3 linked regions of the Coturnix japonica genome follow. The protein of the gene in region 2 purifies or fractionates together with the protein of the main gene of each other region. This does not show direct contact. Links are inferred from orthologs where the notes say so. Each region holds a gene or a part of one and is shown on either strand. Other genes may lie near its edges.

What was found.
Region 1: the proteins of ARHGDIA (region 2) and EZR purify together in Homo sapiens (co-purification; 3 studies listed by BioGRID and IntAct, with this or other methods). This does not show direct contact. The link is inferred for Coturnix japonica from reciprocal best matches to the Homo sapiens genes ARHGDIA and EZR.
Region 3: the proteins of ARHGDIA (region 2) and RHOC purify together in Homo sapiens (affinity purification with mass spectrometry; 4 studies listed by BioGRID and IntAct, with this or other methods). This does not show direct contact. The link is inferred for Coturnix japonica from reciprocal best matches to the Homo sapiens genes ARHGDIA and RHOC.

What each region holds. Positions count from the first base shown.
Region 1 is NC_029518.1:47,135,492-47,146,024, forward strand, and holds the start of EZR (ezrin), read right to left. Parts: upstream 5,925-10,533; 5' UTR 5,804-5,924; coding exon 5,792-5,803; intron 5,786-5,791; exon of another isoform or gene 4,838-5,785; intron 4,656-4,837; exon of another isoform or gene 3,357-4,655; intron 1-3,356. UniProt on the Homo sapiens protein: Probably involved in connections of major cytoskeletal structures to the plasma membrane. In epithelial cells, required for the formation of microvilli and membrane ruffles on the apical pole. Along with PLEKHG6, required for normal macropinocytosis.
Region 2 is NC_029533.1:4,447,027-4,457,436, forward strand, and holds the start of ARHGDIA (rho GDP-dissociation inhibitor 1), read left to right. Parts: upstream 1-4,298; 5' UTR 4,299-4,416; intron 4,417-8,951; 5' UTR 8,952-8,971; coding exon 8,972-9,161; intron 9,162-9,496; coding exon 9,497-9,580; intron 9,581-10,186; coding exon 10,187-10,263; intron 10,264-10,410. Other genes in the region: ALYREF (THO complex subunit 4), read left to right, coding at 1-103, 295-426, 2,506-2,653, 2,748-2,811, 2,965-3,142, 3,916-3,930. UniProt on the Homo sapiens protein: Controls Rho proteins homeostasis. Regulates the GDP/GTP exchange reaction of the Rho proteins by inhibiting the dissociation of GDP from them, and the subsequent binding of GTP to them.
Region 3 is NC_029541.1:3,627,904-3,638,420, forward strand, and holds RHOC (rho-related GTP-binding protein RhoC), read right to left. Parts: upstream 5,895-10,517; 5' UTR 5,769-5,894; intron 3,194-5,768; exon of another isoform or gene 3,175-3,193; intron 3,085-3,174; exon of another isoform or gene 3,066-3,084; intron 2,757-3,065; 5' UTR 2,755-2,756; coding exon 2,599-2,754; intron 2,412-2,598; coding exon 2,291-2,411; intron 1,939-2,290; coding exon 1,808-1,938; intron 1,643-1,807; coding exon 1,469-1,642; 3' UTR 1,026-1,468; downstream 1-1,025. Other genes in the region: MOV10 (helicase MOV-10), read left to right, coding at 74-199, 300-388, 458-572; PPM1J (protein phosphatase 1J), read right to left, coding at 7,634-7,781, 8,012-8,163, 8,294-8,401, 8,615-8,678, 8,786-8,904, 9,313-9,397, 9,976-10,088, 10,448-10,517. UniProt on the Homo sapiens protein: Regulates a signal transduction pathway linking plasma membrane receptors to the assembly of focal adhesions and actin stress fibers.

The sequences.
Region 1 (10,533 bases), on a different chromosome or scaffold from region 2:
TTGCACATTTCAACCATCAGGAACATGGTATAATTACCTATTTACAAAGATAAAAAAGTTAATCCAGCTAAGCTTTCACAATTAAAGCGTATTCTATATGTTAAAGAATAACTTTAGCTCTGACAAAGAACTCCGCAACCAAGATCCTACAACAGTCTTTGAAGTCCCCTACTGGGCTGGTCAGGCAAAATTCAGGCACCCTAGTACAAGAAGGAGATTCTTCAGATCCCATTTCTTTACTTAGCAGGCAGGCTGCAGATCTGCTCTATGCACCTGCCGAATGCTGGTCTCTTGGCAGAACTGAGAATCACCATTTAGTTCAACATTATCAGCTGGGTGTGCACACACTGGCATCCCCAGAGAAGCCTCTCACACACATCCCACATCAAGGCTGGACTGCAACAGCAAATCTGGATGTTTCCATGTGGAAAAATCAAGAAAGAGACCGTGGTAGTGATGTCTCTCAGCTTTACACAATAACTAGAGCACTTGCTCATGGAAGCTGAAGAGAAACAATTGCCACATAAGATGATGTGGCAATTCCACACTGAAAACTCAGAACTAGCAAAGGTTACAGAAGCTGTACAAGGAGTCCCAGCACCTCTTCCATGGTACCTACACAACAGACAGCCAAACACAACAGTCACTGCTGCTAAGAAACAGTTTCTCCCCCTCTCTCAGAAGTTCAGAGTCCTGGGTTTAATTCTGACTTGGGATTTTTATTTTAATTGGCAGCTGATGGTGTCAGATGCTCATTAGTCCCAGCTCAGCACACGTTACCCATGCTCTCTCAAAGCTGAAGACAGGTAACTCATCAAGACACTATGAAGCAGTGGCTAGAAACAAAACCTGGATCTGAACAAATACGCAGAGTAGAGGCAATGTACTTAATTGTAACGCCAACCTAAGCCTTCTTTATAGACTCACATGGAAAGGACTGTTTCCTCTTCCTAGAAGGAAAAAATTCTGTGCACTGCTCAGTAAAAGCCTGAAACTTCAGTTGCTTCCATGGAGAAGCATTTCTCAGCTCAGAGACTAAGTATTACCTAATGCTGAAACCAGGTTTCAAAAACAACCCCGCGGCACAGCCAAGATATATTACTTAACAGTGCGTAGTGTGGTTCAACGATCTTAGGCAGCACTGCCTTCCTTCAAGGTCAATTGAGTGATTATGGGATTTACAGTGCACATAAAGCCCTTCGGACACAGCGTGCCAAACAACAACGACGCTGAAGCAGGAACCTTCAGTAGGCATCAAGAAGAATTATTCTCAAAAAGTCCTGACATGTCACTGATTTTTTATTTATTTATTTACTGAGAACAGAGGAGGACGTTCACATGGACGGAAGGAGAACAGGAAGGCTTATCTCCACCCTCTGTCCTTCAAGAAGGCCGAGAAATTCTTTAAGTAGTGTCTAACGTGAACAGTTAACACTTGATTTCTCTAAGGCAGCTAGCAAGAACAGACTGACCTCAGGAATGCTTATTCAGCTCATACAGTAATTTGGATTTTGGCACAATTGTGAGCTCATTCTCTTCCACCTTTAACTATTTGTTAACTATTCCCTACACTTACTAATAGTAGAATCCTTCAACTTCCTTTTGAAGCCTGGGGTGAGACTGCACAATTGGTTGATATTAAGTTTCTTCCATTTTGCACCACTGTGTGCACCCTTGGTATCAACCACACTAAATACCGTATCATCTGACATATTGCAATTTGTGCTCACAAGAAAAAAAACCTATCTTATTACTGCATAAATCCATAGCTACCCATAAGCTAAGAGTATGTTAATTACTTACTATCTCTAAAGGTTTTTCTTTTTATTTCAGCCCTGTTATAGAAATCTGCTGTGAAGAAATTGAAGACCAAACTATCACGTGCAGTTAGAAGACACAGTTAAGACAAAATTGGGAAGATCTAGAAAATATCAATGATTATTAGTTTTTAGAGTAAATCCCTGTTGCTACACTTCTAGCTCTTCCGGTTGGCTTATGACAAACATTGAATTGTAATGCCATTAAGCGTTCACAGACCGATAAAGGTTTGCCTTGAAGACTTACATGCCGTCCTCATGTCCATTTTTAGAATGCATGTATATTCAATAACAAACAGGTATGGAGGACTTGTCTAACCACTTGGTGCCAGGCACACACTAGAACATTAATAACACAGGACTGGGAAAAGCCTTTTGAGTCATCAGTTCCAGCTGCACACTCCTACAGGCAGCAGCACTACAATGTGTCCTCATCAGACTTTATCTTAATTAAGGGCATTAGGTCTTAGAACACTCCAAGGGGAGAAAGCAACCAGAAACTGAACTGCTCTGATATTCACAAGTCCCCTTAACTATAAGCCTTGCCTAAAGCAAATCCTCCCTTTCTTTGATAGTTAAATCCTTCATATTTTAAACTAAACTATCTCCCCTTTTGCGAGGAGGCCTTCCTCCTACAATCAACCCCAAATCCTTCTCCAGGTTCTGCTTAGAATTTGTGTTTTCTGGACAAAAACAGAAACGACAACCTATCTTCAAGAATTTTCCTAACACCTTCTATTAGTGCTTTCCATCAGGGAAACCCCACACATTGCAGATCAATGGACAAGACAGTCCATCCTATCAACAACTAATTCATATCAATCTGTTCTACACATTGAGGGACCTCTTTCCACCACACCTCCAAGTTTAATTATTATTAATTAACTAATTATTATTAGGATAGGTTTTGGTGTTTTTAGTTTGTTTTATAACATATGTGCTTTCTACTCCTACATATGATGGCTCTCTGCATCAACACTATGCCCCCCAACACTGGCAGGTATTGTTGGTATGCTCAGCTCTCTGAACATAAGCTATTATTAAACACATTAGAAAATGGTGCCTGGATATTCTCCCTGTATTCTCTTTTAGCACCAGAAGTTGATAGACTGCATGTATTGCTGACCTATCTTTAAGACTGTTACAAAAACACAGATGTATTAAAGGTTCTCGTGTGGCATTACTTGAAATGCTCTACTGCAAAGCTGACATCATTTCTTGTGATGCTTCCTTTCCCCTCTCAAGATTTCCTAAGAGGAGAAAGAATAATCTACTTTCAAAAAAGGACCACAGAATGCTGATAGGTCAGATCAAATTAACAGGTCTCTGGAGCAGAGATCACATTTCCTTCTCCTTCTGTAAGTAATGCTCAGTAGCCCGCAGCCCTGTGGCTCTATGTGACTGGCTTGCTTTGCCAAAGGATGTAATTCAGCTGGAACACCATCCATGCAATGAGTCAAACAGAAATAAGCTAGTAACATACAGATCAAGGGAAAACACAGTGCACACACAGACACTTCAGTAAAGAAAAGATGCAACGCTGATCAAGTCAGTTTATTGCACACTTTGCTTGTTCTCAGAAAACAAAGCAAGATTTGGACAAGATAACATCTCTTCTGTTTCTTTATGCAATAATTTACCATTTGTGAAACCTTATGAACTATCATTCAGACTAGATGGAAGTTCAGCTTCTGAACTGCTGGTGAATTTCCACCTAAAACCCTTAAGAGCTGAGAACCAGAAGTTACATATTTACAGCACACCCCAGTGATCTCGTTACTCTATAACTGTTATACGTGGCAGAAAGTCTGTGTTTAATTATAAATTAGGAATTAACAGTTGTCTTTATTATCAAAGATCTCAGAATTATTTCCTGAAACGTTGCCAAGATTTATTTTGAGCACTCTAGACGTGTGTCTGATCCAACAAACAGCGATAAAGCACCGGTACAGAACCTGGCGTGCACTTGGCTTTCTAGTACTTCACTATGGTACATTACTAAAATACAAAATCACTCATGTTTTACTCTCACTGGACTTATTTAGTGTGAAAGACTGAATTCCAGTCTGTAAGCTCTCTGTGCACGTATTTTTTCTAACAACAAAAGCTCTGTATGGAAGTTTACCTTCATTGCTTTGGGGACAGGTAGAAAGCAAATGCTGAAACCGTGGTGGTAATTATCTGCTTAGACATAAAATGTTTAAGATGACAACCGATGACCGGCTTGTAAAACCACATCCCTATCAGCACGAGGTCTGCCAAACAACATTGTATTTACTTATGCCAAGCTGACAAGACACACATGAACAAGTGTAGGTAGAATCTATTTTGTACCTTTGTATTTGACCTATCAAACAAAAACTGCCTCTTCATTTCCTACGAGTTCACGGTATCAGTCCCCACACACATCAAAGGCTCTTATCATTCTCCTTCTGAGCACAGTTCTGCTCTGGAGCGACAACTTCACACCCGTCCCTACCTCACCCTGCAAAGTGATAGGAATCCTATTTAGCTGCACTAAGAACAAATGAGCTGGATTTGAAGGATCCAAACACACCGTCTCGATCTGCAGCAGTCAGACCAAAGCATTCTGTTCAGACATCCTCCACAGAATTCTCCTCATCTGCATTCACTAAGGTGGCAGTCAGCCCCATTGAAAGGTGGGGACCGAATGCAGGTTGCAAAAAGAAGAGCTTATTCCACACAAACTGAACAGAGTCTTCTCCATATATCCCGGACAGTAGGTCACGTCTCAGAAACCATTAAAGCATGGCTGTCCTTCCGCAGAGAGATAAAGAGATTTTTCCCACACCTACTCATGGCTTCCAATATCGCCTCCTGTTGATTAAATACATCCAGGGAGAATGAAGATTTAGCACTCTTCAAAGAATTCAAAGGAAGAGTTTTTTTCCTCATTTGTTCCCCCTAAGTTTACAGAATCTGCAGTGTAAATTAATCTAAGCTCTTCTTAACTAAGTTAAATTCAGCGTTACAGTAGCAGAACATCCATTGCTCATTACCCCAAGGATAAGCTCGTCTAGTCTCCTTCCAAAGGGTGTAGCTAATAATCTTGGAAGTTCTTTACTGTGCTGTGCTTTAAGTGCTGCCTCTGTTGGAAACAGACAGCCACAATCTGCTCTGGTTATGCTCTTCAGAGTTCCAAAGCTGTCTGCTTCCATGAGCACAGGCAGCTCTGCACCAGCCAGCTCCTCAAGGGAATTACCGTTTCTAACTGCCAGGGTGGCAGCAGAATTCAAAGCAAAACAGTCTGAAAAAAAAACAAAACCATGAGCAAACCGACGCAGGAGGGGGCTCCCACAACAAGAAAGTTTGAAGGTATTCAAGTTGGTTCAACTGAAAAAAAAGGAAAGCAAAGAACAGAAACGCTTTAACGAAGACTGTTAGAGGCTACCTGGCAACAGACCCAGCGGTAGCACCGTGGGGAGCGGTACAATGATCCCCTGAACCTTAAGTTTTTAATCACGAAGGCAAGAAACGAGGACCTGTCATTCAGCATTCACAAATACCAAGTGAGAGCCGGTGCTGTTTCGCCACCTCACGGACCTGGCAGCACACTAAGCCCTTCCTTTCGGCGCCCGACGAGCACCCCTGATCCCGGTCGGGGCGCTCCGAGGCCCGCAGCCTCCCGGCCTTGGCCGGCTCCCTGCCGGGCACGGCATTGAGCAGCCCCGGGGCGCGGCCCTCCCCTCCAACCGCCGCTGGGCGAGCGGCCCAAGTTTCAGCATGGCTCCCTAGGGCGGTTCCGCGTTTGAATCGAGCCGCCGAGCCGTTCCGCCCGCTCCTCCCGTTCGAAGCTGCCTTTCGGGCGGCTCCGGAGCTTCCGCGGGACCTCGCGGCTCCGTCCGCGCCTCACGGAGCTTCCCTGGGCGCCCTTGGCGGAGCCCCGGCGCGGCTTCATCCAACGGGAGGCACGACCCCACCGGACACGCGGGCAGCCCCCGCGCCTCACTTACCGGTTTCGGCATTTTCAGCGCTGTCAGTGCTTCCCCGGCTCCAGTGAGCAACGCTCATGCAGCAGCTGCCCCGCCTCAGCCGAGCGCCCTGTGAAGGGGAGGAGGAATGAGAGCCGCTCCCTGCCACGGCGACGGCACAACCCGCGAGTGCGGCGCCGGCCGCCCGGCGGCAGTTAAGTAGCAGGTGGGGCCGCGGGTGACTCACCCGCCACCGGCCATTCCCCACCGCTCCCCCCCTCGCTCTGCGAGCACGGGGCGGCCTCGCCCAGCGGCCCGACGCCCAGCCGGCCGCGCTTCCAGACCCCAGGGCGAGGACCGAGGACCCCGGCCCGGGTGGGAGCGCCCTTGGAGCGATGCAACAGGTGCGGCCCACGCCCCGTGCCCGGCCAGAAGCGGGAGACCCTCACCGCAACATGGCGACCGGCACCGGCACCTGCCCCTGCCTCCTCTTCAAGCAAAAGGCAGAATGGTTTTTTGTATTAAAGCACGTTTTCAGCATGAAATAAAAGTCTGAAAATCCACCTAAGTTTAAAAACTATACAGTGAGCAGGCTGCTCCAGCTGGCCGTGCTCTGAGATCAGGATTGTGCAACCAACCAACCGATTCGCAGACACGCAGAGATGGATGACACGCTGTCTGTGCCTATACCCACCCTTCATCCACTGCCCTGCTCCTGCACAGCCCCCAGGTGCTTTGCCTGCAGGAGCTGTGGCCTCCCGCCCGCTGGGGTGTGAGAACAGATCGTATTTACGTTGTCACAGGCAACGGACCATAGGACACAGGTCTTCCGGTGTGCCGGCAATGGCATGTGGGTGAGCTGCGAGGGTAAGGAAACGTGCAGATCCGAGCTGCTGTCTTCAACATCCTCATTTCAAGAAAGGAAGCTTCAAAACAAGGTAACAGCCAGCACGTGTCAAAGATAAGGGTTGTGGAGACCCTGGGGAATGCCAAGGGACAGTAACAAAAACACGGCCCTGAGTTTTCCTCCAGGTCCCGTATCAGATAGTACTAGGCAGTCACTGGTAGTGCCACATTCAATTGAGGTAATTGCCTTTGCTTTAAATTTGAGAGAAGGGAGGGGTGCAGAGACTGGTAGAACTCACAGCTATATTCCCTTCTTGTTGCATGATCCTAGGAAGCAGGAGAGGGCCTTACTGTCAAAACTGAGCCATATGTGAAGCAGCTTGCAACAGCAGGTGAGGAAAAAACAATCAAAGCTAAATGGCTTCTGAGGGAGATGAGATAAAACACTTCTGGGAAACAGCTACAGCCTCTGGTTTCAGGTAGAACAATCCCACTGGGATGAGCTTTAATCAGATTAATTTAACAACATATGGTATGTGAGGAGACTTCTTTTAAGCAATAAGTTTATGGTGGGACTCACACCTTATTCAGTAGGATGGTATTAGATGTGAAGCAGGCCAGAATATGACTGCTGAGCCCAAGAAGCAATGGTAAGGAATATAAGAACTTAGTTGTTGCCACTCTTCGCTCAGAACCCTATGTGGTGGTCTTGGATTATTTTTGAGGGGCATATAGGTGCAAAAGGCATGTAGGTATTTTCATTCCTTACCATTAATACCGTATTTTGGCTTGATTGAAGAACTGAAGAATTTTTATTGCAGTTACTATTGCTTCCTAACTACAAAGAAGCAGAGGCAAAAGGAATCTAGGTGACTAATAATTAAATGTGGCAACATACAATCTCTAGGTTCCTGTTTGCCACAGCACATAACCCTGTGCCATTCTCCCACAATCACCTGCAATATATGGGGAAAGATAGATACCTCAATGGTATCCATAACTACCAGCTTACTCAACACCGCTCCACCCAAACCCAACCAACGAGAACATGTTGAACCCAGACAGGCAGAACTGTCATCTGTGGAAGGAAAAGAACAATTGCCATGTTAGAGCGTTCGCCAGAGACCCTTAACCTCCTTCCTGGGCTTTTGCCTTTTGCAAGGTGTGTTTTCAAACCACCTTGGCTACAGAGCACTGAGAGTTACTAAACTCTTAGTTCAGAAGGGCGGCAAGTTGTCTTTGTTGAAGTGAGGGAACCCTCTTGTGGGTCCCCGAGTTTCTTCCTTTACATTTCACTCCCTACTTTCCTCCCCAAATGGATGGGAATGTATATAATCCTACCCCTTCCTTCCCTTTTATACAAAAGTCTATTCATCCTTTGCAGATACAGTTAAACTCAGACTAGCTTTGGAGACTAGCTTAGTCTCCAAAGAAGGGATGAAAGCTCTCAGTTCTGTGGCTTTCTTGATAGTGTCCTGACAGCATGCTGAGTTTTTGGAGCATGGGCATCACGTGTAATACACTACACTATCTGATAATGCTTACAGGCTGAATTGCCATTTGAGTCAGGAGCAAAGGAACATGAGAGCAGGCATGAAATCAGCTCTCATCAGGCCAGTTTAGGGTAGAAGTAGAAAGATGAAAAAACAGATTGAAATGTAGAAGCTTGGAAAATTTACATTTGAAAAATAAGATAATAAAAGGAAACACAGTTGGTTCTGGATTTAGGTATTGGCTAAGCAAGAGAAAGCTTTTATGGGCACTTTAACTACAGCATTTTGTGCTAGACCTCACAATCGAGCATAAGACCCAAATCAAAATGAAGTCTTTAAGTTACAGGATTAACAGCTGCACTGATCCAACACTTGTTCTTAACCTGCTCTATTAAGAGTATGGCATTACTAACAACTTACAGGAATTACTAAAGCTGGGGAGGTGATGAAAGGACCTAAATTGCTCAGCAGGTCAGTAGCAGGACCCAGTTTCTGTTTTGCTCCCTGTAACAGCTCCCGTGCCTTACTGCCCTCTAACCAAACTGTATTTTAAGACCTTCCATCTGTTTTAAGGAGAAATCAATTTAATCTTGCTGTTCTGCTTGTTTCAACTTGATATAAAGCACTGATGAATTCAAAGAATTGGACAGGATCAGTATAAAGTGGTTTTGCTTAACAGATTTGGCACTAGCCATGTTTTAGTTAAAATACATCTTCCTAAGTGTGATTATCCTGAAATTAGGAAGCGTGGACTCTTATGTCCTAAAAACACCATTCTTGCTTGCACACACAAAATCAATGGTTTCTTGTTTCTGAATATAGGAAGTGTGATCCCAATTTTCCAAGCATGGTTGGAATAGTCTTGCAGCATCTCTGGTGATTTGTTTGCAGTTTTACTCCTGGGATTTTTTTCTAACTAGAAACATAGAGTGACTTACTTTTGACAACTTAAAGTCCAGGCAGTCAACATAGCAGATAAAAGAAAGGATACCACATTCTGAGCCACTTCATATAGGTTTAAAATCAAGAGGATAGTTTTCTTTGTCAATTCTAAGAGCTGTAGGAGGAAAGTAGTCATATGGTATTACTGACAGTAGCTTCTGTTTCGTTGTGCATGACTGTGAATAGGCAGTTCATTCCCAGTTAGAATTCCTGAAACATTGGCATTGTAATTCCTGCACTGTCACGCTCCAGGAAGAGCAGCCAAGGATCTGTCGAGTTCCAGTTCTGCTTGAACTGAGAGCTCCTTCCTTACTCTGCCCACACTGAGCCTAATGAAAACCCGACAAATTCAGGTCACAGAGGACGAGCGTTTTCTTTCACAGCACTGTTGACATTCTCCAGGTTTCTTTTGTTTCTTTCGAAGGGGATACACATGGTGAAAGAGCTCAAAGCTTGTTCCTGATTTTTTTGTTATTCCTTAAATGAGAAGCTTCTGCCAAGTTCAGTTAATGTGTTTTTCCAGTGTGAGTTTGTGCTAAGAAATGGTTAGGCGAATTGAGGCCTGGAAATAAACACTGTTAAATGATCCAGCAGTTACATGCTGGAAGACCCTTATCTTTGCAATCATTTTGTTTTCAAGCTGCACCCACAATTGCTCCTTGAGATTACATGACGCTCCGCTTGACCATCAATGAATTGTACAGAGACGTACTAGATAAAAACAGTTTAAACATGCATGTGATCAAGCAAAAAAAATCTATGGTAATCGTCTGTGTGACTGAAATCCACAGTGAATTATTGATTTTATTAATGAAAACAAATTTAAAAAAAAAAAAAAAGTAATAAGAATTTGCTCAATCTGCTGAATGAGAACCACCACATCACAAAGCATTGTTTAAAAATGCATTAGGTGACAATAGATGTTCACGATGTTCTGGATTTGTAAAGATTATTCTATGCATGTAAATCTAGCCGTGTTTGTTCAAGACTGGAAGCAAATGGAAACTAGGGGCAACACAGCTTTTACGTCTCAAAATGAAATAATGATCTTAATGCATACGATAAGAAAGAGGAAGGGAGTTCCCTTGCACAGGTAATCTCTATTTTACCTTGATACCTTCCTTTGTGCTATTTTATTTGGAGTCTGATTAGAAGCAGAGCTCAGTGCCATGTATTTCAAATACCCCCCTGCAAGATTGAATTATTTCTACAGGGACCAACTCTTCTTGTTTTTAAGCATCTAACCAGAGGTGCATAAAGGCAGTGCTGACAAAAAGAGCAGGTCGAGTAATGTTGACCAACTTAGTTCTTGTGCTTCATAAATGGAATGCAGATGTGTGCCTACAGCAGGCATGAGTAGTAAAGGGAGGTGAATGATAGAGAGAAAAAAAACACACAGAATTGAAATTTATATTGCTCTCTCTGTAAGGATGATGCTGTAGGAGTTAAAAAATAAACTAACAAGCTATCTCAGCTAAGAGTGCCAAAATTCAGAATTCTGGG
Region 2 (10,410 bases):
TCGGGGCGGCGTGGGAGCCGGGCGAGCGGGCGGCGGCCCCGTGAGGAACAGGCCGGTGATGGCCCGGGGCGGCGGCAGGAATCGGCCCGCGCCGTACAGCCGGGTACGGGACGGGGGCGGGGGCGGAGCCCGGTCGGCGGGGCCCGGAGGGAGGGGGCCGGTGTGCGGGGCGGGGGGCGGCGGTTCGTGGACGGGGCGGGGGCGGTGGGACGGGCGGCCCTTTGTCCGTTGCCGGCGGTCGAGCCGTCCCGGCGGGACCCGGCGGCGCTCAGCGAAACGTCCGTGTCGTTCCAGCCGAAGCAGCTCCCCGAGAAGTGGCAGCACGATCTGTTCGACAGCGGCTTCGGGGCCGGCGCCGGGGTGGAGACCGGCGGGAAGCTGCTCGTCTCCAACTTGGACTTCGGCGTCTCAGATGCGGATATCCAGGTACGGGCTCGGCGCTGTTCCCGGGGGGTTTCATTCATTCCATCGGTGCTGGGTGCTGGGGGTGGCCATAGAGCATTGCTGGCCCTGCTCCCATTGGAAGGGCCCTTCACACGGTGCCTGGCCCTTTGCTTCACGCACTGCTGGGGCTCTGAGCTGAGCAGTTGGAGTGGCTGGATTCAGAAGAGTCCCAGTCTTTATGGAGCTGTAGGTAATCACATATGAAATATCTCTACCACGATGCTGTGGGGGGGATGTTGCCTTCGCTCAGTCCTGCTGTGATTGCAGAGCTTAGCACAGGCTGTGTGAGCTTTTAAGGTCTGTGTAATTCCAGACGTTCAGTAGCTCTATATATACATCTATTGGCGCTGTTTTCATAGTACCTGTTTATGTACTTTTTGTTAAAGTTTTGTTCAGTCTCAAGGTGTTCTTATAGAAGCACCAGTGATATTGAGAAGTCTGGTCTGTGAGGGGGTACCTGCTCGCTCATGTTGTCATTTCCACAATTACCACATGTATCTTATGACAGATAAATGTTCTAGCTGAGTTACCAGCTGCAGCTCAATCCCTTGTTCCAGCTGTGCCCTGGGTGCAGGCTGTTTGCAGTCACTGTGCCTGTGACACAGCAGTCACAGCTGTGGGGCTGCTCTTACTTGTGGGCAACAAGTTGTGCAGAAACATCTGCAGATCCAAGGAGCATCCAATCTGAAGGGTTTTCCTGACTTAGTCACATTGCAAAGAGCTTTGGATGGTTTCTGGTCCTTGCATCTCCTCTAGAAAAAAATAACTAAATCACTTCTATGTTTTCTTCTGTTAATTCATTCCGGTTCAACCTGTCTGCATCAGGAGTATTGGAAGTGAGCTTTTTTAGGTCACCTAGTTATTGAGCGATGCACTTAAAACCACTGTTTTTTCCTCAAGTGAGTTTAGTTTCAGTTGATATACATTTCCTGTTTGCTGTAATCAGGCCCAAACGTGTAAAAGTGAATCTGTAAAGTTATCTCAATGTAAGGAATTAATGTGTTTTGTGTGGCAGTTGAATGTTTCCTTTTCACAGTTGGCTTGAACTGCAGGAGCAGACAAACATCTGTGTATATTATATGTAGCAGCAAAGCTGACTTAATGGGTTTGTACCTCTTTGTTACTGCCCATCCCGTAATTTTCCACTAAGCTGCACTGATTGTTTTCTTTGTTTCTGTGCTGATTGTGTCATTAATATGGTTCTGCTCAGCTCAGTGCTGAGGAATGAGGGGCTTGGTGGGAGCCTCGTTCACGTTGCTCTTGTAGGAGTATGTGTGGTGCTGTGGCTCCAGCTTCTCTGCAGGACAGGGATGTGATGGAGCACCTCTCCTCCCATGTGGTGCTGTCTTCCAGAAAGCTTGTTGGGTGCTGTATGTTCATGTTTAGTAAATGGACACAGTAGAGAAACTCACTGACAGGCTTGCATAAAGTGCAGCTGGCTTAAGAAGTGAAAATATTTATATGCTCCTTTCAAATGCTTGGATAGGAATTATAGAGATGGCTGGAATAGTGTTTGGGCTCTGCTGCAGGTGATATGGAAGGCAGCCTGTGGTGTCTGCTTTGGACACCTGACAATTCTGTGTGCTTCAAACATTTGAAGAGTGGGGTGTAGGTATAAACTTGCAAAGTAGTGAGATGTCCCCAGATGTACATCTTAGATGTAGCCTCTGTGAAACAAAATGGGTGGCTCCACTGTTGCAGCCTTCCATCGCTCGTGATGGTAAACGATGCTCTTCAGTAGAAGATTTCCTGCTTTCAGTTTATACAGACTGGCAATGTCCCTGGGAAGAGGAGCAGGTCAGCATACCTTGGGGCCACTTTGTTGGCTGTATACAAGCACCCTTCAAGTGGTGGATATGAAATCCTGTTTGTTTCTGCCACCTGTGGCTGCTTTCTGGAAGTCTTTAGTGGCCTGTGTTCCTTCTTTCACTGGTGCTATTTGCGTGGTGTCATGGAATGTACATGATATTGCTGAAAGCAGGAGCTGCCTGCACCTTCTCTGGGCTGCTCGGTGTTTGCAGAGCTGACTGAAGCATATTCACTTCTCCCTCTGTTTCTCAGGAACTCTTTGCGGAATTTGGGACCTTGAAGAAGGCAGCAGTGCACTACGACAGATCCGGACGCAGTCTAGGAACAGCAGATGTGCATTTTGAAAGGAAAGCAGATGCTCTGAAAGCTATGAAGCAGTACAATGGAGTCCCCTTGGATGGTGAGTCTCTGTGGCTGTCGTGTGCTTCTCTGCACGGCTGATGGCATCTGTGTGCCTGCCACACTCACAGGGTAACTGGCTGCTTTTCCTGCAGGGCGCCCCATGAACATTCAGCTGGTTACATCACAGATAGATACACAGAGGAGACCAGCACAGAGGTGAGAAGCCGCGGGAGTCGCTGTGCCAGTCAGCACGGGGAGTGAACTGGCCTGTGTAGGAAGCATGGAATCCTCCTCGTGTCCTGCAACCTTCTGAGTGCCTGTTGGGGTTAACCAGAATGCACTATAACAGTTGCTTTTTAAAAATCACAGTGTAAACAGAGGTGGAATGACCAGAAACCGTGGTGGTACAGGAGGATTTGGTGGTGGAGGTACCAGGCGAGGTAGTCGTGGTGGGAGCAGAGGGAGAGGCAGAGGGGCTGGAAGAACTTCCAAACAGCAGCTCTCTGCAGAAGAACTAGATGCACAGCTGGATGCTTACAATGCCAGGGTAAGTGCTGCTCACATGATGGTCACGGGTACCTACAGCGTCCTTTTGATAAACACTGGCAGCTGGCTGGAAAGAGAAATTGTTTTTCAGGTCATTTGACTTAAATAGCCTCCCTCTAAAGCTGAGCATTGCCCTGTTCCTTCAGCTGCCTTAGCTCTCCACATCTACTGTTACTCATGAGTAATAAATAGCCCCTTTTCCAACTTCTCCTGGCTTGTTGAAGCCTGTGTCAACCAGAATTGGCAGTAATCAAGATGTGTGATGAACGAAAGCTATGAACCAAAGCCCAAAGGGATAATAGGCTGGAAAAATGAAAAGCAAAAAGAAAAAACACATAAAATAACCAGCTTGGTGCTAAGAAAGGAAAAAAAGTCAATGATGCTGATCACCCCTAATGCAGGTGGATGAGCAGAGCAGTGCACATGGTTTCTTTCATTCAGAATGAGCTCAGATATTGTGCCACAACAAGACTAAAGTCTTAACTGAGAATCAGTTAAGAAGTGATGCAGGGACTTGGCCCAAGCACTGAGGTGCAGTTTAGGTCTGCTCAGTGTGTGCTGTGGATTGGGCTGCATCTCCGCCATTGAGGCAGCAGCATCCTGGGGTTGGCAGGCAGGGCTGGGGGGTGTCAGGGTTGGGGATGGAGCTGGGGGGTTGTGGGGCCATGGTGGGTTGTGGGGTCATGGTGGGTTATGGGGCCGTGGTGGGTTATGGGGCCATGGTGGGTTATGGGGTCATGGTGGCTGCTGACGCTCCTCTCTGTTCTCTTCCAGATGGACACCAGCTAAAGCGTTGAGCGGCGCATGGAAGGACTGCAGACATCTCATTCCATGCTGTGTGGCGGGAGGGGTGTGCGACTGTGGCTACTAATATCAAGGATGGGATTTGTTTTACTTTTATGTTTTGGAATAGGTTTTAAACTCATGTAAAGGTTTTTTTTAATTCTGAAGCCAGACCCGTTTTGTACCGAGTTATTTTTGGGATAAATTTTACTGGTTGCCTGTTGGGCCGAGGTGGCTTTTTCACCTTTGCCGTAATAAAATAGAACCGTGTCTAGAGCTCCGCCTGCTCCCTGCCGCGCGCTCCTTTCCCGCGCCCGCGCTGCGCGGCGAACGCGCGCGTACTCCCTGAGCCAATCAGAACGCAGCGTCGAGGCAGGAAGTGAGGAGCGGGACACGCCCTCGTATAACGGGAAGTGACGGGCGTGTCCCGGAAGTGCGGGGGTGCGCGGGCGGCTGGGCGGATCCCGGCGGCGTTGGACCGCGGCGCGGACGGTGAGAGCGGCCGGGACGGCGGGACCGGGCGGGGCGGGGCCAAGGGAGCGGGGCGGGGGGCGCCGGGATCCGCCATGTGCGCTGCGGCCGGGCCGGGTCCCGCGGGCTCAGCGCCACGCCAGGGTCCGGGGCGCGGCCGAGGGGGCAGCGGGCGCCGTCCGGGTGCGCGGCGGGGAGCGGAGCGAAGAGCGGCGCCTTCGTGCCTTGAGGCCGCCCCGGCCGCCGCTGTCGGACCGGAGCCGGGTGGGGACCCGCTGGCTTCAAATAGATTCTCCATAAATGGTTTCGAGCTTTGAAAGGAGGAACTTGAAGGCGACTTCCCCACGGTTGGGTTCGTTTGGCGTTAGAGCCGAGACGTCGGTGCAGCACCGGGTGCAGGATGGAGGATGGAGCGGCAGTGAGCGCTGTCCGGGCTGCGGGGCCTCATGGCCGTGCCGGAAGGATGGTGCCGTTTCCCTGCCTGGGCGGGCGCGTTGCGTGAAGCCGTGACTTCCTTCTCTTAAAGAGCTCTCGGTTGTAGCACTCAATTATCGCTGTGAGAGCTTCAGGTCCCGGCCGTAGTGCTCTATATAGTGCTCTATGGGCTCGGTTCTCTTGCAGTGGTCCCGTTCTTGTCCCAGAGATGCTGAGTGGCGGCCGCTTCCACGTGGTGCCCAGGAGACATTTGCAGCTCCTGCAGTGTGGTCGTGCTGTAGCTCTGCAGTCGTTGTACTTACAGGTGCATAGTGCTCACCGTGCAGCTTGTTTGAGTACGAGGCTGCAAGGGCTTCTTAAATCCGATAAGCAGTGGGAGCTGTCTGCTCGTTCTCGGGTGATGCTCGTGGCAGGTGATACCTGCAGGTGTTGTGCAGTGCAGGGCAGTGTCACCAGCACGGTGCACAACTGCGGATCTGGCTGCAGAGCACCTGGCAGCAGCTGCTGTGCGACCCACAGCTCCTCCCCACGCCTGGAGCTGTGACAGGGATCAGCCTTAGGGCAAGGCGGGAGATCTCCATGCTCATAAAGCAGCTCAGCAATGCTGTGGGAGCACCCAGCGCTGTGCTCCTGAGGCTAAACCTGCCTGCAGGCAGCACTGGGGGGGGGTCACTGCTCTGCTGCTGCCACGCAATTAGACCTGGCTCTGGGCAAGCTCACGTCTGGCCCCTCGAGCTGCCATCATACGGGGTGTCTGTGCTGCTTGAACTGGTTTTAGCAGCTCTTGCTTCCTGTTTCTGCAGCACAGCAGCTTATGCAGCCCTGAGATGAACCAGGGTGGTTGAACCGACCTGTGTGGGAAGTAACCTTGCAGAAAGCCACATTGGATTCCAAGTGGCTTTGCTGTGCAGCTTCATCAGCTTTCCCTTGTGCTGCAGCGAAAAAAGGAAGGGTGTGGACTGCTTGAATTGGCGCTGTGTGTGTCCGTGGCTGAGCTGAGGCCTGACGGATGTCCGAAGCCAATTAGGTCATCTGTAAAGACTCTGACCACTCTTATGTCACTGCACAAGTACCTTGGGATCGTGGCCCTGGCATGTAAAGAAATCACTGCTCATCCCTGCCTGATAACGGTGTTCTTTTCCTAGCAGTGTTTCTATCTGGCAGAAGGTGGGGCTCGTGTGTTCACTGCTGTTCGCTCCTTGGTATCGAACTAAAAATACTGAGAGAACTCAGGAGAAACTGCTGACTTCAGGAAGCGGCGCAGGCAGCTGAGTGCAGATCTGCAGATGGGAAATAATTTGGTTTCTGCTGCTTTCTGCAGGCCCCAGTAACCAGCAGAGCTTCCATTTCCAGACATTCTGGGACATCCCTGAGGCCGCAGTGCTCTCCTGTGGTTGAGTGCAGGGTGGCACAGAGGCAGCAGCTGCACTGTTCTGTGAGCCAGGTGTGTCTGCAGTCAGAGCCATGGGCTCGGGCGGTGCCGCACAGGGTGTGCAGGTGCCTTCCGGGTTTCAAAGTTGCTGAGGGGGAATTCCTTGCAGAGGCCTTGGGGTGGTGCCTGGGTGTGAGGCTCAGGGCTGAAGGTGCCATTGCTGCTGGAGGTTGGTGTTCTGGGAGGTTTCAGTCACGAGGCTGAGCCCTCTGAAGGGGTTGTGGCCTCAGGTCCCCGTTCCTCTGCCCCCACCTCTGCAGCAGCATGTGCTGGAGCCATGATCCTACAGGACGTTGGGCATGGCATGAGATGGATGCCCGACCCAGTGTTCCAGTGTGTTGAGTCCCTCAGCTCTGCTCTGCCTAGCAGTACGACAGCTCCTCCTGCATGCACCCGACCAGCTCTGTTCTACTCATTCTAGGCTGTAGGAAATGCATTGTTATAGAAGCACGGAGCAGCCTGATGCTGCTGGGAGCCTCCTTTCTCCCTGGCAGAATACTCAGGGCAGCAGCTGAGCACTGTGATGTGAGGCTGCACAATGCTGTGTGCTGGGAGCAGGGTCAGCCGGGCGCAGTGGGAGCACGATGCCATCAGAACACTGCAGCAGAGGGGCTGTGGTGCAGCCAGCTCCATGAGGCTCCTCCAGGCCTCGCTGCACATTTTTCCTGTGCTTCCTTGCAGAGCTGAGACCCAGCCTGTCTTGAGCTGCTGTTTGGAACATTGCTTGCTGTTTCTGGTAACTTTGGGTCAGTTTGAAGAGCCACTTTTCACCCATGGACTTCCATGGGGTGCTCGTGGGGGAGGGAGGGGAGGGGTGAAGTCTGGCTTGGAGCTGAAACTGAGGGCAAAATGAGATTAAGCACTGGAACAAATGCTTGAGTGAGTGTTTGTTGAACACTTTTGGGAGCCTTCAAGCCTGGAAGCTTTCTTGGATGGGAGCCTAAAGGAAATGACTGGTTTCGATATGGATTTTCTAGGGTGAGAGCTACTCGGTTGCTCATGTATGGCATAAGATTTGAATGTAAATTTCCATGGCAATCAGTGCCAGGGACCTGGAGAATCCCTTTCTGCTGGTAGAGCTCAGTCAGGTTTTGATGCCCGCTGCAAGTACCCTTTGTGCACCCATGTTGGTGCCCCAGCCTCCCTGGGAGGTGCTGCCAGCCCAGGGCAGCTCAGATTTGCTCTTGTGTTTGGCTGGGGGTTCACCCACACGGGATCTGACAGCACCTCATCTCAGTGCCAGCATTGAGCTACAGCCCTGGTGCTGTGCTGGAGGCCGCTCTCATACCCTGGATCAGCCATAGTCATCAGGCAGAGATGTGCAACATATCACTCTAATTTGTCTCCTTGGCAGAACATTCCTAATATTTATGGCTAAAAACACCATCTACACATACCTCTGCTGTTGTGCTCTTGCAGCTGTCGCCAGGCTCAAGATGGAGGCAGACACAACTTGTCTTGTGTCACTGCACAATGTGCTCTGTGAGCTGTGTGTGCTCAGTGCCAGCGCTCAGGTTTTTCTCTCCCTGTCTGGGTGACACATTGGGTAGGAATGAAGTCGTTGAGTTAAGGGCTGTTATGTCAGCTAGTTCCAAGAGGAGAAGAGCAAATAGCAGTTGGCTTACGTAGCATAGCCTGTGCTGCAGACTTTGGGTTTTCCTTTACAAGTCAGCATTTCTGGATGTATCCTGGTCTTCTGTGGGGGCACGTGGAGATCAGAATTAAGATCATAGTGTTGATTTATTTGGAAACTGGATGGCAGAGCAAAGAATGCAGTTTTCCAGTCTGAGTCATGTGTGCTGATACACGACTCCAGACAGGAATGCAGAATGGGACGTGGAAATGCCAGGTAATAACGGGAATACCTGCATCCATCTGCACGTCATTTGTGGAGGATTTTGTCTGAGAAGCCTTTCAAAAGTTGTCAGCTGAGTGTTTTTAAGCCCTCAGAGCAGTCCAAGCTGATGTTTGCTGTAGGATCACCCGTAGGGCAGCACTCCTTGTGATGCATCAGGAATTACTGACACTTTTTCCTGGTGTTTTGATGGCTGTTGGACCAGCTCTCAGCTGGGTGTTTCCTGGTTACACTGTGCTCTGGGGCTTACAAAGCAGTGCCAATCTACACACCGGTCTTCAACCCATGTGTTTGCCCAGCTCTGTGACACATATCTTTGGAAAGGATCAGGATGAGGTCAGCTGAGCCAGGTGTCTCCTTCCATTGTAGATTCTGATTGAATTACAAACTGTGAGCTCCAGATTGCAGCTGAGGCTTCTGGCATTTGGGCCAGCGGTGGGGCTGGGCCTGTTCTTCTCCTCACCAGGTTGTACTATGGAGAAGCAGAACTGAACTGGGTTTATTCTGGGCTCAAGCTGATTGCAAGTGAAAGCATCACTGAGCTGTTCATGTGGAGGAGTTGTTTTTTTCTATGGCGTGGGCTATTTCTCTGTTGCAGCTGCTGAACAAAGCACAGAGGCTGATTACTTTTCCCAATCCTCTTGTAAGGGCTGAAAATGGGATCTTGGCTGCCGAGGGCAGGCTGGGGGGGGCACAGGTCCTTGACAGCAATGTGCCTCTGGAGTGGGGAACCTGGTGGGAGAGGGACCTGTGGAGTCAGGGCTGTTTTGGGATGGCTGGTTTATGCCAATATGCAGCAGATAGCTACAGTTAAACGTCTCCTCCCTGCTTCAGTGTAACTCGCGTGTGTGAAGATGGCAGAGCAGGAGCCAACAGCAGAGCAGCTGGCCCAAATCGCAGCTGAGAATGAGGAGGACGAACACTCCGTCAACTATAAGCCACCTGCCCAGAAGAGCATCCAGGAGATCCAGGAGTTGGACAAGGATGATGAGAGTCTGCGCAAGTACAAGGAGGCACTGCTCGGTGCTGTCACCGTGACTGCAGGTGAGCTCCACCTCTGGCTCCCCGGCCTCAGCTCTGCTCCTGTCTGGGAGCTGTTCTCTCCCCAGCTCTTTGTGACTTGGTGTGAGTATAGCCAGGAGCACAAGGGGCAGTGTCTGCCACTATTCAGTGGCCCCTGGAATAAAGCAGTGGGACTGAGGGGTTGTTTTCTGACCTCTGAGGGAGATGTTCTGGGAGAGTGTGTGGGCTGGGTGTAAATCACACAGGTTGGAGCCCTCACTGGTTTTCTCACTCTTTCAAGAACTTCCGTGGAAGGGGAAACGAGTTGCTTGGTACAAGGGCTAGTTGTTTAACAGCCTTTTATTTTTGTCTTCTAGATCCCAATGCTCCAAATGTGGTGGTGACCAAACTGACGTTGGTCTGTACTACTGCTCCTGGCCCTCTGGAGCTGGACCTGACAGGTAGGCTGGGAAACAAAAGCAGCCCTTCTCTGAGTCAACGCTGGTTAATGTGGGGTCTTCAGGGAGGTGTTGCCAAGGCACTGATGCTGTGGTGGGCAGCTCACCTGCATGTCCAAAATGCCTCTTTGCTGGATGCAGAGCCAGGTGCCGTGGTCAAGAGGATTTCCCACCTCAGCTTGCATCTCAGCAGCCCTATCTCAGCAAAGGCCTTTCAGCTTTCTCTATATTGCATGCCTTAGTTTTATAAATGTCTGAGCTGCCAGCTGGGGGAGCCAGCCGTCCTCCAGCCTGCACAGCCGCACTAATAGCAGCTTCAAGATGGTGACAGCTTTGGAGCAGACATTTACAAAGGAACATCCTTGAGTTAAGTGCACTGTTATGCTGCAGTTCCCTTTCTTGGGGGAGCACTTGGCCACCTCAAGTAGCACAAGCAGCATATCAAGGAGAGTCCTGAATTGCAAGAATAAAAGGATAAAATGCATGCTGTACAACCAGTAAGGGTCCAGTCCCCTGCTGCAGATACTTTCCATTTCACCTTTTATAGCTGAAATCCTTTCCAAAGCACGATGCAAATGGACTCAGAGCAATTGTTTACTTTCTGTGTAGGTGACCTGGAGAGCTACAAGAAGCAAGCTTTTGTGCTGAAAGAAGGTGTGGAATACCGGATAAAAATCTCCTTTAGGGTAAGGATTCAGATCTGCAAACTGAACAACTGGTGAAATTTAGAGCACCCGATCACTGCAACTCCATCATAGGGCCCCCAAATAGGTGTGATGGAGGAAATATTTCCCTGCAGTGGGTGGGGTGGGCAGCATGTGGAGATCCGTCTT
Region 3 (10,517 bases), on a different chromosome or scaffold from region 2:
CCAGGGCCCCACACATCACTGCGGGGAAGTGATGGAGCCTCATCCCCTCTCACCTCACAATCCCACATCCCAGGTGGGCTCTGTGGAGGAGTTCCAGGGTCAGGAACGTCGCGTCATCCTCATCTCCACCGTGCGCAGCTGCAGTGAGTACCTGCAGCTGGACCAGACCTTCCGCCTGGGCTTCCTCAAGAACCCCAAGGTGTGACCCCCCAGCTCCCCAGCAGAGCTGCTATGGGCACAGGTGCCCCATAGCCAGGAGGTGAACACAAGGGAAACCCCAACTCTGCTCTCTTGCTCAGAGGCTCAACGTGGCACTCACACGGGCAAAGGCGCTGCTGATCGTGGTGGGTAACCCAGCCGTGCTCAGCAAGGACCCACACTGGCACAGGTGAGCCCTGCACCCCCCAAGCTCTCCCACAGCCCCACACCCGCTGCCCACACCCCACTGTGTCCCCAGGTTCCTCAGATATTGCCGGGATGAGGGTGCCTACAAGGGGTACCCCTATGAGGAGGAGCCCCCCAATGAAGACAGCCTTGCCAACCACCTCGACGCCCTGCAGCTCGGCAATTAGCAGCCAGGTAATGCATGGCTCAGCACGGGCAGGAGCTGCTCTCTCTCTGCCGCTCCCCATCCCTGTGCAGGAGCCCAGCACAGCCCCATGGAGCTCCAGCATCTCCAGCCCAGCCCCATCCCACAGCCACCTCCTGCTCTTCCCTTTGGAGCCAGGCTGTGCACCAGGATGGGTCCTATCAGCTCTCCTGCATAGGGCTGTAGTTGAACCCCGGGACCACCAATGTTTTATCTTTTTTAAATCTTCAGCAGTGTTTTTTATACATCTGTAGAAAAATCAATTGTGCTGTGACTTCTGGCCCCAGCCCGCAGGCTGAGCCACGTGCAGCACACCTACCTTTGTGTCCTTGGAATAAATGTTCAGAGAAAAACACTCTGTTATTGAGTCCTGGGCGCTGCGTGGGAGCAGCACAGGGTCTGCAGGGGCAGCCAGAGGGATGCCACACACGCAGTGTTACAATTACTCACATACCAGTTTGTATTTATTTCTCCCAGTTACTCAGCTGGTGCTAAGAGTCTGTGAGGGCCATGGACTCGAAGAAGGCACCATCATTCTAATGCTGGACATGGGGACAAGGCATTGCCCTGGGGCAGTCCCAGGGTGCAGGGCACTGCTGGCACTCCTCACAGCACAGCACTGCAGGACAGGGCTGAGCACAGCCCAGGTGAGTCCATATAAAAGGCCATGGGGCAGATGGGGCCAGCACACTGCAGGGGGAGCAGCCAGCAGCCCCCGCTTCTGCCAACCCTGCTCAAGGCAGGGAGACCACACAGCCCATAGGGAGTGATGGGGAACGAAGGCATCGCCCCCCAGCGTGGCACAGGGGTGCCCCCAATGGCTGGGGACAGCTCTGGGGCAGAGGGTTGGGGACAGGCATGGAGCAGAGCCCTCCCTGCTCACAGCAGCGGGCAGCCCCGGCGCTTCTTGTTCTTGCGGACCTGCAGCCCTGCACGTGTGGCCATCTCAAAGACCTCCCGCACTCCTTCCTTGGTCTTGGCTGAGCACTCGAGGTAGCCGAAGGCATTGATCCGGTTGGCCATGTCTCTCCCCTCCTCTGGTTTCACAGGCTCCTGGGCAGCATTAAAAAGGAGGGTTGGAAATACCACCAGGAGCAAGAAGCCTTCAGGGCATCCTCCATGCCCAGATCAGGGCTGCAGGAGGGAAGCCCCAGCAAAATAGCCCAGGGTGAGGGGATCCCAGCACTGGCACCCCACTGAGCACACACCCAACCTCACCTGCTTCATCTTTGCTAGTTCTCGCCTCGTGTGCTCATCATTGCGTAGGTCCTTCTTGTTTCCTACCAAGATGATAGGCACGTTGGGGCAGAAGTGCTTCACCTCCGGGGTCCACTTCTCAGGGATGTTCTCTGCGAGGAGCAGAGTGCAGCTATGAGCTATGGGGCATTGGGACACACAGCAGTGCTGCTGCTCCATGCAGGGCAGGAGGAGAGCACGACAAGCTGCAGCCCTGCGCTGTGAAGGGGAGCAGGGAAAAATGCCTTTGCTGATCCCCAAAACCACCCCCCAGCTGGGCACAGAGCAGCCTCTCCCAGCACCTCCATTGTGCACCAGTTCCCAGCATCTTCCTGGAGTAAGGAAAAAGCTGGGGGTGGAATGAGAGACTTAACACCCCCAGAGTGGCATATGGACTTCCCAGAACCCACTATGCCAGCAGAATCTCAGCCAACAGGACCCCATGATGCACCCCCTGCTCCCTACCGAGGCTGTCTGGGCTGTCAATAGAAAAGCACATGAGGATGACATCGGTGTCCGGGTATGAAAGAGGCCGCAGCCGGTCATAGTCCTCCTGCCCAGCTGTGTCCCATAGTGCCAGCTCCACCTGTGGGCAGAAAGACATCACTCAGCACCTTACAGACCCCACCAGGCAGCTCATAGGGTACTTAGTCTTCCTCATCTGCAGTGAGGAGGGTCCTTTGCAAACTGGGGTAACCCAAAAACAAGGGTGCTGCAGGGCTCACTCTCAAATGCAGCATCCCATCACCACCTGCACAGGGCAGGGTCCTTACCTGCTTCCCATCCACCTCAATATCGGCAATGTAGTTCTCAAACACGGTTGGCACATAGACCTCAGGGAACTGGTCTTTGCTGAAGACGATCAGCAGGCACGTCTTCCCGCAGGCACCATCGCCCACAATCACCAGCTTCTTCCTGATGGCTGCCATCACTGCAAGGACAAGAATGAGGGTGAATGGGGCTACAGGCTGCAGCTGCACCAGGACTGCTGCCAGGTCCAACAGTTCTTTGGCATCTCCAACTCCTCTGAAACCTCAACACAGAGCCTGAGCCATTTCTTAGGCCCTGTAGATGATCCCATCAATTCAACATCCCCACAGAAACCCCAGACAAGGCACATGATGACAGCTCATGCTTCAGTCCCCATGCAGGCACACTCTGCTCCGTGCAGAGGAGGCTGCAGCCCACTGCAATCCACTGGTGGGGCCCCAGAGCTGCCGGGGGCTGCATCCATCCTAACCTGGGGAGGGGTCAGCATCACCCTGAGCCCTGCCCAAGGCTGCAGTGACTCACAGGGCAGAGGCCCTGTCCCCGCCCAAAATCTCAGCACAATTCATTCCATTACTCACCCAGCAGCCCAGAAATAGCCCATTGCTAACACACAGCCAGCCTCCAAACAGCAGGGAGGAGGTGGGGAGTAGTGCAGCCACGGTGCCCCTCAGGCTGCCCTATCCCTGTGGGCACCCAGAGTGGCACCAAGTAGCTATTCTAAGGTCACCACCAGTAACACAGCAAGGGCTCTGGCACAGCTGCTTCAGGAGGAGCTCAGCTTCAGGCTGAGCTTCGTGCCTCAAAAACTGAAATTCCTGCTGAGCAGGAAATGGGGAATTCCTGGTAGGATGCATCTTTCACCCAGTTTCTGTTCCTGAACCTCAGGAAATGGCACAAAATGACGTCAGTGCTTTGAAGAAGGGATCGGTCCAGGGACAGAAACCTTCCCGCTGGCCTCTCCTCCTGAGACCCCATCCCCAAAGCCCATCACACCAGCCCTGACCCCACAGCACTGCACATCTATGGGGGGCAAACAGATCTCCAAGGAGAGCAGCCGTCTCCATCTGCCTGGTATTGCTGTGTCTGCAGCCTCTGCTGAACCTCAGTGTTTAACAAACAAGCGTCCTGGGCACTCAGACTGTTTGGATTTACTCCTGTTTGGAAGGAGCTGGGCTAATCACAGCACAAACCAGGCTCAAGGCTAGAACATCACCATGCAGTTCGCTGGGTTTCACTCCCTCAGGCGCTCAGGCAGCACAACCTGTGACACAGAGGAGACCTAAGGAATCCTGCAGCACCCAAAGAGCACGAAACCCCAGCAGGGAACACAAACGGCGCTTTCCAACCAGTGCAGCCAAGGACAGCAGTCTCCACTTCTAAACATGGCTTTGTGTGTTCAAAGGGCTGCAGCCGCACCCCAACGCACGCCAGGCAGGGTCATATCGGGACAGGCCCTGGGGGAGGTGCAGCCCAGGGTGGGCACGGAGCATCCCTGGAGTGCTTCAGGGCTGCAGCTGAGCCCAGAGTTAAAGGGAAGGTATTTGGGGACAGTGACAGAGGCACATTGCAATCATCACGACTCCAGCAGAAAGTCCCACGGCACAGGATGAGTTCCTGGCAAGGTTCAGGAATGGGGGGAGCCTCAGAAGCAGAACAAGATTCCAAAAACAGCTGGGAAGGAGCAGTGACACCAAGGCACAGCACAGCAGCAAGGAAGTTCAGGCTTTGGGGTCCCGGTTGCGAAAGCTTGGAGCTGTTCCTAAGGTCTGATCAGACACACTGTGCTACACCAAGCAACAACACAGCAGCGGATCAGGGCTGCTCTGCAGACAAGGGGCAGAGCAGGCAGTTTTCATTGCCAAATCCCACAAAAACATCCACAAGCAAAGCAAAGAAAGGGATTTGGAGCAGAAGAATGTTAAAACCCAAACTGGGCTTGAGCTGGGAGCACTCTGTGGGAAAACACGTGGCATTGCTGCCCAGCAAACCCAGAGCTGCACACCCCGCAGTGCTGGTGCTCACTGGGCAGATACTGTGAAACCAACACATGATACCAACCCTGACCGGCGCTTGGAGTCTTACTGTAACCCATTTAAATGTCTTCTGTTTCAGGATGACATCCAAGGCAGCAAAAACATCACATGTGCACAAAGCCTCTTAGACTGAAACTCACAGCTCTGGCTTCAGGACTGCAGCCACAGCCTCCTACTTTTACACATCACTGGGCTAAAGAAGAGATGCCAACAGTTTATACACGGTCAATGAACCAGCAAGGCTCCTCAAGTGCTGTATTTCAGCTGGATACACTGAGAACTCAGCCTGCTGCAGCACTACTGCTGCCTCAGGAGCCCCACGCTGTCCCCACCTCCTCCATCCACCACGTTCTTATCTTCCATCCCACAGAAGCACCTTCCCCAGCTGTAGCAGCACCAGTATCTGCCAGATGACACTCCCAGGCCAGGCAGGTGGTTGTGTTTGTGCCTCACAGCTGATCCCTATTTGCAAACACATTCCGGACTTCCCATGTTCACACACAGCCCCATCCTGGCACATGCTCTGAGCTGCCAAGCGAGCCAGGTTAAGCACACCCAATATCCACTGGCATCATCCCAATAGCTACCTATGAAACGTTTCCCTGGACAAGCCGAAGCTGTCAGGAGTCAATTTAAAGCACATAAAATCTCACGCAGCTGTAACCGTGCTAGAGAGGACCATAGATTCAAGGCAAGGCGCTGGGAAGGAGGAAATGGGAGCGCAGACGGCCTTATAGTGTCGGGGGGGATCGGGCGGTCGCTGCCCGATTTGGTGCTGGAGCGCCGGGGTTGCTCATGGTTCTGGAATGCTTTTCTGCTCTGAGACATTGCACAATTGTTTCTGCTCCTCCGTCTGCCCCCCTTGTATAAATGTTTACAAATGAGCTCAGCTCTAAGCAAAGCGAACTTTTATCCTTTCACGAAGAAAATACAGCGCTGCTGTATCGGAGGCGGCTCCGTGCGGGACGGCTCCAACCCCTCTTCGCCTCCGGGACCCGGCCCGACCGGGACCGCACGCAGCACCGCCCCATGGCGCACCGCTACGCGCTCAGTCCCATCATAACCCCGCAAGCCCCCAATAGCGATCCCCGCACCCCTTGAGCTCCCCGCAGCGCCCGCATCCCGAGCACAACCCGTACCTCTCTAGGGCACGGCACGGCACGGCACGGCACGGCTCCCTCTCCCGGTCCCGATGCCGGCTCCAACCCCAGCCCCACAGCCCGGCTCCGGCAGCACCGCCCCGTTTTGGGGCCGCCCGCTGAGGGGCGGAGCTGAACCGAACCGAGCCGAGCCGTGGTGTGCCGGGGGCTCCACTCCCAGCCCAGCTCCTGCCCCGCCCTGGCAGCGGGGTTACGTCGGAGCCCAGGCCATGCCCTGTAAGTCGTTTCTATTTTAAGATTTCGGAGACGCGTTCTCCTTAATTTATCCCTCCCCGGGCCAGCAGCTGGCTCCAAAGGAAACGTTTCTTTAGTAAAGAAGGGAACCGCAGAGGAAGCGCTAAATTCAGCCTCTGCCCGCTATGCCCCTCCCCGGCCGGCAGCCGTGGGGGCACCGGGCAGCGCAGCCCCAACCCCGCAGCCCCGGGTGGGAGCAACGCAAGGGAGGAGGGACAGCGGCTCACATGGCACCCAACCTGCCTACACGAATTAATCAGCGCTAATTGGCTTTGAAGTTAGTCGTCTTTGCGGGAGCTCCGCAAGAAAGGCGCTGAGGTGGAACTGCGAGCGGCACGAGCTTTATTGAACCACACAAGGGCAGCTCCTTCAACCCCAGCATCATCCCCCTGCGACACAGAGATGCACAATGATGCACACAGGTACAAATGTCACGGGATAACTTTCACTCCCCACTAAGTGCACCCAGTTTATTTACGTCTCGCTTTGTGCTTTGCAGGGTGCAACACTGCAGAGGTGCAGGAAACTCATCATCCCCCAGGTGAGAGGTATAGCAGATGCAGGATACTGCAGAGAAAACAACTGCAGCTACAGCCCTGCCCAGAACCAGCTCCGAGTCTGGGGAAAAACCAGCCCACCCTATTTCCCAGCCACAACCAAGCTGCTTTTATTGCAGGCTTCCAACCCCCAGCTAAGCAGATTCATGCAGCATTTTAAGCTGTTAAGCTTGGCTGAACGGGGCTGCTCTGTAACTGCTGCTCGGCAGTTGCCAAATTAGAACCGCTCAGAAATAACAGACCTATATTCATACCGACTGCCACCTCACACCAAGAAGGAATTCAGACACTTTCCAGCTCAGCTCTCCAGTTAATAATAAATAATTGGCTCTAGAAATACAGCAGTGATCCAAGGCATGAAGAGAGGTGGTGGGCAGAGCCCATGGCACAGCCAGGGGCTGGCAAACACCATGAGAGTGCAACAGCTCATTTCCTCCCAGGTGCTCTGTGACTGAGCCCTGTCACGTCCACTGAAACCTGAGACCAAGGTAGTGTGCCCAGCTGAGGACAGGGCCCAGGAGCCAAAGAGGGCAAGCACAGGACTGGGGTATCCTTAGGGCTCACAGCACCTGCAGCTGGGATGGACACTATCCCACTGCCAGCAGGACCCCAATCCACACCCACCCCAAGGCAGAAGCTTCAGCATCCATGGTGTAAATGTCACAGGGAAGGAAAAGGAGGTGATTGCAGGAGAAAGCACAGACTTCACCGGGTACAGGCACTCAGAGCCCAGTCATAGGGCTGTAACCAGCACACCTGGACCAGGGCGAGGTGCTGAGCATGCACGGAGAAGCCAGAGAGCACTGAGGCTTTTCACAGCAACCAAGAAAACCAGCCCTTGAGCCCAGTCTCTGCTCTGTCCTTCCATCTCTACACAGGGCAGGGATGCAGTAGGTGAGGGGGGTGCTTTGGGCAGGAGGCTCCAAGATCCTCATTCTTCTTGTGGTCAGCTCAGGAATTGAGTGCTGGAGTGAGCGGTGCCTTGTGCAGTGCCAGCATCCTGCTCATGGCCATCCAGGCAGTGTGACCCCTCTGCCCAGTGCTGACAGATTATCACATGTAGTTGCCAGGGCCACCCAATGGGATCACAAACACAGAGATGTCATCGCCAGAGCCCAGCTTGTCGTTGGGCAGCCGCCAGCCTCGCTCCTTCAGGATGCCCCTGGAGCGCAGCACCAGCTCCTGGGCCACCATGGTGTACCTGGGCAGAGAACAGTGGTCAGCCCCAGCCCAGCAGGCATCGTGCTGCACCCCACTGCTGTCCCCAGGGTGAAGGAGAAGCTGAGGGAGCCAAAGGGGCAGGGAAGTGGGTCTGGGAAAGCTCAGATACATGCATACAGAGGAGCACTGTGTACAGAGGGATATGTGGCCACAACACTGCTCCAAGCAAGATGCTATGGTGCAGGACATACCTGTCTGTCTCCCCCTCACCTGCACGGGTCATTGGGCTCATAGCTTGTCAGCACCTCCATCACCACGCTGGCCACTTCCTTGTCATTGGTGACATCCCAGAGCCCATCAGTACCCAGGACCAGGACATCATCGGGGCAGTGTTCATACTGTGTGAGGTCATACACCCTGACCTGGGAAACATTGGGACAGGACATGAGGGTGATAGTGGGCTCATGGACATCCCAACACCACCAGGTGCATTGAGCACTCTCTGAGATCACCCCAATCAGCTCCAGCCATCACAAGAGCCTTTGGGCTCACCTCTGGAAAGCAGGACAGGAAAGGCTTAATGTGGATGTTGGAGCTGAACACCTTGAGGTCGTGGTCTCCCAGACCCCGCGTCACCCCAATAGTGGCCATCACCCGAGCCTGGAGAAAGGCAAAATCAAAAGCAAGCTTTAAGCTACCTCACCTCTGGGAGAAGAGATGATACACATGGCATTGGCACCCTGACAGCACTGGGAAAAATGGGCTGGGACCCCCATTTCAGCAAGGGCAGACAGGGGATGACCCCTGCACAGTGCCAGGGCCCCCACCTCCCAGGGCAGCAGGGACCCCTCCCCTCACATCCCAGCATTGTACCTTTTTGCCTTCCCCATAGATTAGTGGAAACTTCAGGTCATCCTCTTCGATCTTTTTGTAAGCCCTGTATGAAACAAGCAGAAGCAACCTGTTGGCCAGTGCCCTGGGATGAGACCCCTTTGGTACATGGGGAAGGGGCTGGAGCTGTGGCAGACCCAGACAGCACAGTACCAGCCGTTCATGCTCTGGTCTCTGTACAGCATCTTCTTCCCCAGCTCCTTGGGCTGAATCCTGCGGGGGAACTCAAGGTGCGTGAACTCCTTTCCCAGCAGCTCAGGTCTCAGGAACGCCTGCAGGAAGGGGCAGAGAGCTCAGCTGCAGCAATGGGAGAGCAGGGTCCTGCCCAGCACCACCCTTTGACTTATGGCAGTGTTGGTGCTCAGGCACAGAGAGCCCTGGCCACAGCCCAGCTACTGTGCAGTGGAGCAAGCACAACGCCTGGCCCTCTGCCCATGAGTGCATCACAGCTGGGGAGGATCTTGCTTACAGCAACTTCTTCCCCTCAGTCATTCAAACACAGACATGAGAAAAAGTAGCACGGTGCTCTCTCAGATATGCTGCAAGGCAGGAAATCCCATCCAGCACGACCTCCTCTAACATAAACACCTCCTCAGTGCCCAGCAGCAAGAGGGGCAGCCTCAGGCAGGGCTCAGGAGGTGGGTGAGCAGGAGTCAGGTTAGAAGAAAGGTCTTCCTTACTAAGAACTGTAGCCTCTGCCTCTCTGTCTCTGGAGTAAACTCCCTGGACATTGGAATGATTTCCCCGTTACGGATGATAATGGCCCTGCAATGAGACATGGAAGGATGAGGTTAGAGAAGAGGAGAGGTCCTCTCCCCACTGCCCACCAGCCGAGCCCTGCAGCCCAGCACCCAGGGCAGGGGAGGGAAGACGGGGAAATGGAAGAGAAGCATGGGGCAAATGGAAGGCAAACTATGGTTGGAAGAGAAGCAGCACAAAGGTTATTAAGCCTCCACCTCGTGCAGCGTAGGCAGAAGTTGCCAGCAGCAGGACATGGGTGCAAGTGCCCAGCACTGGGGTTGAGCTCCCTGCAGGAGGGCTGAGGTTTGGATGGCTTAAAAAATGGCTGCTTATGAGATGTTCCTGGAGGTCCCAGGGAGTTGGGGATCTCTTGACACTTCTGGCCCACCTGTCCTACTTGCTGTCCTGCCGAGGGCTAAAGATCCCCTGCAGGGCCCAGGTGAGCCCAGCTCTGGTGGGGTTTGGTGCAATCCCTGGGAAGGCAGGGATCAAGTGCCAGAGGTGGGGAAGGAATTCTGCAGCTCCCTCAGTGCTGCAGACACACACAGACAGCACAGTGTGGAAACTGAGGTGCACCTCAGTCTGGCTGGGGCCATACGTACCTGCTGTCACCAGCGTTGGCCACGTAGAACTTGCCCATGAGGTAGACAACAGCCAGGGCACAGCAGCCCCCAGAGATGTGCTGGGATGCCCGTTCCTGCTCGATCTGCTCGTCCTGGAGAGATGGAGAGCTGTGGGCAGAATGGGAAGCAGCCCTTGCCAGCAAGCAGAGCTCCAAGGAGTCCGAAATAGCTCTGAGCTGCCCTGTCAGCACCCTGGCTGCCAGCTGAGGCTGGGCACATCGCCCTGCTCACCCCAAGGTCTTGTGTGCAGCCCAGGACACAGCCTCCCCAGCACTGCGGAGGAGGCAGCAGCTGGAACAAAGCCCAGTGAAACCGTCTTCACACACAGAGCCCAAAGCCTGTGTGTTTTGTGCCCCCAAAATGAGGCAGAGCAATAGGGCAGGAGCTGCCCTGCAGACCAGGGAGGAGACAGGAGCAAAGCAAATGCTGCCAGTCAGCAGCTGCAGCTCACCATGTGTTTGAAGGCATTCTCAATGGCACCGATCACCAGGCTCTCATGGGAAACTGCCTTCTCCAGGTGA